2 linked regions of the Macaca mulatta genome follow. Each later gene encodes a partner of the first gene's protein in a complex. Links are inferred from orthologs where the notes say so. Each region holds a gene or a part of one and is shown in the gene's direction. Other genes may lie near its edges.

Region 1 (2,300 bases):
ATGGGTTATAGTTTTGAACCCTGATCTAAATCAAAGAATGGCAACAAGTGCCTCCAAGTGATGTAGTTAGCACAGTTCATCGACCACAAGTAAATGGGAAAGACAGGGGCATTTCCAGGCAAACATCTGTGTGTGTGTTTCCTTTTCACATGAGCACAATGGTATTAGAATTGAGTTACAGCCCATCAGAGGCACCAGTGAGGAATGAATGGATCAAAGGGGAAGGTAGGATACTTGCTCTTTTGTTTCCTACTTTGGAACACCTCAGAAAATGGGTGGTGACTAATTTTATCTAGATATTTGTTAAAGAAAAACATAAACCATAAATTGTATCCTCTACTCTGAGACTGAAAATATACAACATGGACATGTTAGTCCAGACCAGTCTAAAACATGCTTCACAGGTTCCCTTCCTCATCCCAGATCCCTTGAAAATAAAAAATTCAAACGAATATTAAAGGGCAAGAGCAGCCCTTCCTCCTCAGGTGTCTGTCCTAGTCTGGGTATAACGTAGAGGACCCAGAAGCAAGTTTCTCCACCCTTGAGCCTTGCTGGTGACAAGTAGCACCATAACTAAAAGCGTTTCCTCTTCTAGAACACAGGCACGATAGGGAGAGGGGCACTCACCTGTGTGTGTGAAGCTCTATTGTTTTCTGAGACTGTTGTAACAAATTGGCACTAACTTGGCAACTTACAAGAGAAATTTATTCTCTTGCAGTTCTGGAGGCCAGAAGGGAGATAAAATATGAAAAATGTGAATATTTTGGAGGGCAGGAGGCATTTCTCAGCCTACCACAGAAGCTGTTTGACCCGAGAATAGGAGAGGGCTGCACCCAGGTCTTGGAGTTACTTTCCACCCGGATTATGGGTTTGCGTTATCTTAGCAGACATCTCACACCCTCCCCCAGCCACTGTCTTTCTGCCCCATGACACCCAGCTGCTATGAGGGAGGCCGTGTGCAGCTTTAGAACAGAGGAAATCTGACAGCAGTTGAGGGGGGGTTCGAAAACCATGAACTCTAGGACAGGTATGAACAAATGACCCACTCAGAAAGAGTAGATTTTAGTGTCTTGTTTTCTAAAAACCAATTCTGAACATTTGATTTCTTTCCTTTCTTTAGCTTGAGAGTCACCAGTAAAAGTAAGGAGTCGGGGCTTTCTGATGCCAGCAGGCCCAGTTTCTGCCATTCCAGCTGTGGGCACATCAGCGAAGGCAAGCGCAGGTTCACCTACGACAACGCTGAGCTGGAAAGGAAAATCGCGTGCTGCTCCCCGCCCCCAGACTACAACTCGGTGGTCCTGTACTCCACCCCACCCGTCTAGAGTGTGACACAAAGCCTTATTTCTAGAAGCACATGTGTATTTATACCCCCGGGAAACTAGCTTTTGCCAGTATTATGCATATGTAAGTTTACACCTTGACCTTTCCATGGGAGCCAGCTGCTTTTTGTGATTTTTTAATAGTGCTTTTTTTTTTTTTTTTTGACTAACAAGAATGTAACTCCAGATAGAGAAATAGTGACAAGTGAAGAACACTACTGCTAAATCCTCATGTTACTCAGTGTTAGAGAAATCCTTCCTAAGCCCGATGACTGCCCTGCTCCAACCTCCGCCACCTCAGGGCACACAGGACTAGTTTGATTCAGGAGCCGCACTGATCACCCAATGCATCATGGACCCCACTAGGCCAGCCCCGCAGCCCAAAACCCAGGGCAACAAGCCCGTTAGCCCCAGGGATCACTGGCTGGCTGGAGCAACATCTCAGGAGTCCTCTAGCAGGCCTAAGACACGTGAGGAGGAAAAGGAAAAAGGCAGAAAGCAAGGGACAAAAGAGAAACCGGGAGAAGGCATGAGAAAGAATTTGAGACTCACCATGTGGGTGGGGAGGGGGACGGGGCTCAGCAATGCCATTTCAGTGGCTTCCCAGCTCACCCTTCTACATTTGAGGGCCCAGCCAGGAGCAGATGGGACAGAGATGAGGGGACATTTTCTGAATTCTGGGAGGCAAGAAAAGGACAAATACCTTTTTTGGAACTAAAGCAAATTTTAGAACTTTACCTATGGAACTGGTTCTATGTCCATTCCCATTCGTGGTATGTTTTGATTTACAGCACTGAGGGTGGCACTCAACTCTGAGCCCATACTTTTGGCTCCCCTGGTAAGATGCACTGAAAACTTAGGTTGTATCCATGGCATGATGGCCTTAACACTTAAAATGTCACATTCTATTTTGAGTATTAATATACAGTCCAGACACTTAATTTCTTGGTATTATCCTGTTTTGCACAGTTCATTGTGAAA
Region 2 (4,234 bases), on another chromosome or scaffold:
CGTGCCACGAAGCTGATTCTCTTTTTTGTTTTCTTTTTTCTTTTTTTTTTTTTTTTGAGGTGGAGTCTCACTCTGTCGCCGAGGCTGGAGTACAGTGGCGCGATCTTGGCTCATTGCAACCTCACCTTTGCCTCCCGGGTTCAAGCAATTCTTCTGTTTCTGTCTCAGCCTCCCAAGTAGCTGGGACTACAGGCGTCCACCACCACGCCTGGCTAATTGTTTTGTATTTTTAGTAGAGATGGGGCTTCACCATATTGGCCAGGCTGGTCTCAAACTCCTGACCTCATATGATCCATGCGCCTCGACCTCCCAAAGTAGAGGGATTACTGGCGTGAGCCACCGCGCCTAGCCACGAAGCCGATTTTCTATAGCAAATACCTAAAGGCCAGTGCCCACTGCTAGCAGCCTGCCTAGTTCAGTGATGGAGTTAGATGCATACCCTTTCTAGTCTTCTGGGAGGAGCACCCCCATGTCCACAGCTGCTGTAACACCTCGAAGTGGCCAGGGACTTCGGATGCCATTGGACCCTAGACAAGCCAGGGCCACTCTGAGCCCTCCCTACCTATCACAGGCAGGGTTAGGCTGAGGTCCCTAACCCTGTGTGGGTTAAAAAGCTGTGAGGCCCCTAGAGTGGGGTGGAAGGGGGCAGGACTTCAGGGACAACAGGAATTCGAGTCCCAGGGTTAATTGTGACACATTGCAGGAAGGTGAAGCAGATGCACCTTAATTTCATGGATGAAAAGGATCGGATCATCACAGCCATGTACAATGAAGCGCGGGAGCGGGCGCGGGCCAGGTCTGTCCCTGCTCTATTCTGCCCCCTGCTCCCTGTCCCGGCACCACACTTCGGGATCCCTATCCCAACCACCCAGGTGCCCTCTCCTCCAGGGCCAACAGAGCCAGCCTTCAGCAGGAGCGACAACAGCAAAGGCAGCAGCAGCCGCCACCACCGGAGCCAACCCAAGTCCCCGAGATCGTGCCCCCGGGCGCCGGCCCCTGAGGGGCTCACCTGGATAGGGCCTGCAGTGCGTTCCCGCCTTGCTTCCTTCCCTGGACTGCCCGCTTCCCAAAACGCGTGCAATAAAGTGATTCGCAGAGCTAGTGTGCGGCTCCCTCCTTCAGGCCCGGCGCCCCCTGCCCCGGCTTCGCCGAGGGGCAGCGCCCCGCCCTCTGGGTAGTGACTGCCGCGACCCGGGAGCCCGGCCCCCTGGGCGGTGCGTCCCCTTTCCCCTGCAGCGGCGGGAGGCGGGAGGGGGGTGTGTGGAGGAGGCGGGTCCCGCCGGCGGCCTCGCCCCCCCACCCCGCCGCCCCGCCCCCGCCCCACGGCCCGGTGGGGAGCGCGTGTCTGGGTCACATGAGCCGCCCGCCCGCCAGCCCGGGCCCGGCCCCCCGCCGCCCCCGCCGTCCCCGCCGCCGCCGCCGCCGCCCGCCGCCACCGGCCGCCCGCCCTCCCGGCTCCTCCGGCCGCCTCCGCTGCTCTGCGCTGCACTGCCTGCACCCAGGGCTCGGGAGGGGGCCGCGGAGGAGCCGCCCACCGCGCCCGGCCCCCGCCCGCCGCGCCCGGGCCCGCGCCATGGGGCTCTGGCTGCCGCCGCCCCCCGCCCCACCGGGCTAGGGCGATGCGGGCGTCCCCGGCGGGCGGCCCCCGCGGGCACCATGAGCCCCCTGCTCCGCCGCCTGCTGCTCGCCGCGCTCCTGCAGCTGGCCCCCGCCCAGGTACGTGCGGCCCGACAGCGCGCCCGCCAGCCCGCCCGCCAGCCCGCCGTGCCCTCTCTCAAGGTTGGCGGAAGTGAGGAGGCGACCCGCGGCCTCGGCCGGGGGGATCTGCGGGGTCCGGCCTTGGACGCGGGCGTCTCGGGGCCCGGCGCGTGCATCCCCTGGGAGGTGCCCCTCCCCGCTGGCCCGCCAGCCCCAGTCTGGGGCCACTCCTCCGCCCCACCCCGTCCCCTGGGCACCGCCGGGGGCGGGGCTCCCTCAGTGCTCGCAGGACCTGCTTCGGTGCCCACTGTGCGCGCTCCTGATCTGCATGCAGCCCCCAGACATGCTCGGTTCTGCGGCCTGGAGATTTGATGAGGCCGCCGGAGCACCTGTTGTGTTTTGGGCCAGGGCAGGTCCGGGGTGGCCAGGAAAGGACAGGTAAAGCTAGAGCAGTGGCCACAGGAACAGAGCAATCTGGAAAGATGTCAGAGAGGTGGTGAAGCCTCCTGATGCAAGGGCAAAGCCCCAGGGATGGCGACAGGGAAAGACCCTCCTAAAGGGTACCTTGGGTACAGGTCTTTTCTCTCCCACAGGCCCCTGTCTCCCAGCCTGATGCTCCTGGCCACCAGAAGAAAGGTAATACTCATAAAAACTCGGCACTAGCCAGCACTGAGAGGGTTTGTCATTGGCCCTGATTCCAGGTGCCTGGTGTCCGTCATCTTGTATAACTCCCCTAGAATATGCAAACTGTTATTCTACCCATTTCACAGAGGAGGAAATTGAGGCAGCGGGGTTACTGGGATCTGGATAAACAGGGCAGGGGAAGACAGGTTGTGAGGGCAGAGTGGGGAGGGCTACTGGAGGGTGGCTGTGACTTGGGGACTGGGGGGGACAGCTGCTGGGAGCAGCTGCAGGAAAAACAGTGAGGACTTAACCCCTACCGGTCTGCTCCCAGTGGTGTCATGGATAGATGTGTATACTCGCGCTACCTGCCAGCCCCGGGAGGTGGTGGTGCCCCTGACTGTGGAGCTCATGGGCACCGTGGCCAAACAGCTGGTGCCCAGCTGTGTGACCGTGCAGCGTTGTGGTGGCTGCTGCCCTGATGATGGCCTGGAGTGTGTGCCCACTGGGCAGCACCAAGTCCGGATGCAGGTACTGGGCATATGGAGCAGTGGGCAGGGGTTGCAGGTACTGGGCAGGTGGGGCAGTGGGCAGGGGATGCAGGTACTGGGCAGGTGGGGCAGTGGGCAGGGGATGCAGGCACTGGGCAGGTGGGGCAGCGGGCAGGGGATGCAGGCACTGGGCAGGTGGGGCAGCGGGCAGGGGATGCAGGTACTGGGCAGGTGGGGCAGTGGGCAGGGTGGATGCTGGCTGGCTCTGGGGCTGGGGCAGCCTGGAGACTGAGGCACAGGAGGTAGGGTTGGGGGGAGGGCTGGTGGCCAGCCTCCTGGCTGTTGGGTGAGCTTTTCTCCCTCCAGCCTTAGAGCATCCCCTTTCTCTCTCTCCCTCACTGTCCCCCCTGTTCTTCTCCTGAGCACAGATCCTCATGATCCGGTACCCGAGCAGTCAGCTGGGGGAGATGTCCCTGGAAGAACACAGCCAGTGTGAATGCAGGTGCCAGCCAGGCCCAAATTCTGAGCTTACAGAGGCCAGGCTGGGGGGGTGCTGGGTATGGTGGTCCACAGAACTGGGGACCAGGTTCCTAAGAGTAGAGCCAAGGGTAGGCCTTGGATCTGGGGCAACAAAGTAGGATGGTTGGGTCAGTGGCTCACACCTATAATCCCAGCACTTTGGGAGGCCCAGGTGGGCGGATCATCTGAGGTAAGGAGTTCAAGACCAGCCTGGCCAAGATGGTGAAACCCCGTCTCTACTAAAAACAAAAACAAAAACAAAAATTAGCTGGGTGTGGTGGCGGATGCCTGTAATCCGAGCTACTTGGGAGGCTGAGACAGAAGAATAGCTTGAACCCAGGAGGCGGAGGTTGCAGTGAGCTGAGACCATGCCACTGCACTCCAGCCTGGGCAAGAATAGGGAAGCACTCCAGCCTGGGCAAGAATAGGGAAGCACTCCAGCCTGGGCAAGAATAGGGAAACTCAGTCTCAAAAAGAGAGAGAGAGAGTAGGATGCTGGGATTTCCTGATCTTCCTCCTCTTTGTGTCTATCTCTCTTAATTTTTCAGACCTAAAAAAAAGGACAGTGCTGTGAAGCCGGACAGGTGAGTCTTTTGGACTCCAGCTGAGTGGGGGCAGGGGGAGTACAAGTGAGTCCGGAAGCTGTTGCCCCTCTTTCTCCTCCCACCTGTCCCCCGCTTTCCCTTTTCCTCTGCTCCCCAAGCCTGTGTTCTCTGTCCCGACCCCAGCTCCAGGGAAGACTCTTCCTTCCCACCCCAGACATGTCGCTTCTCCTCCCTAGGGCTGCCACTCCCCACCACCGTCCCCAGCCCCGCTCTGTTCCGGGCTGGGACTCTGCCCCCGGAGCACCCTCCCCAGCTGACATCACCCATCCCACTCCAGCCCCAGGACCCTCTGCCCACGCT

Evidence for each region. The genes of interacting proteins can lie anywhere in the genome.
Region 2: the proteins of FLT1 (region 1) and VEGFB are in contact, whole or in part, in a crystal structure (PDB 2XAC), measured with the Homo sapiens proteins. The link is inferred for Macaca mulatta from reciprocal best matches to the Homo sapiens genes FLT1 and VEGFB. Residues at the interface, in NP_002010.2 of Homo sapiens: Tyr139, Glu141, Pro143, Phe172, Pro173, Tyr199, Ile202, Gly203, Leu204, Asn219, Leu221, Arg224, Thr226; in NP_003368.1 of Homo sapiens: Ser37, Trp38, Ile39, Tyr42, Thr43, Thr46, Cys47, Gln48, Pro83, Asp84, Asp85, Gly86, Leu87, Cys124, Arg125, Pro126.

The regions. Positions count from the first base shown.
Region 1 is NC_133422.1:8,289,733-8,292,032, reverse strand, and holds part of FLT1 (vascular endothelial growth factor receptor 1), read left to right. Parts: intron 1-1,120; coding exon 1,121-1,322; 3' UTR 1,323-2,300. UniProt on the Homo sapiens protein: Tyrosine-protein kinase that acts as a cell-surface receptor for VEGFA, VEGFB and PGF, and plays an essential role in the development of embryonic vasculature, the regulation of angiogenesis, cell survival, cell migration, macrophage function, chemotaxis, and cancer cell invasion.
Region 2 is NC_133419.1:10,163,808-10,168,041, reverse strand, and holds the start of VEGFB (vascular endothelial growth factor B), read left to right. Parts: upstream 1-1,434; 5' UTR 1,435-1,656; coding exon 1,657-1,716; intron 1,717-2,291; coding exon 2,292-2,334; intron 2,335-2,653; coding exon 2,654-2,850; intron 2,851-3,134; exon of another isoform or gene 3,135-3,238; coding exon 3,239-3,312; exon of another isoform or gene 3,313-3,715; intron 3,716-3,771; exon of another isoform or gene 3,772-3,877; coding exon 3,878-3,913; intron 3,914-4,110; coding exon 4,111-4,234. Other genes in the region: DNAJC4 (dnaJ homolog subfamily C member 4), read left to right, coding at 704-1,178. UniProt on the Homo sapiens protein: Growth factor for endothelial cells. VEGF-B167 binds heparin and neuropilin-1 whereas the binding to neuropilin-1 of VEGF-B186 is regulated by proteolysis.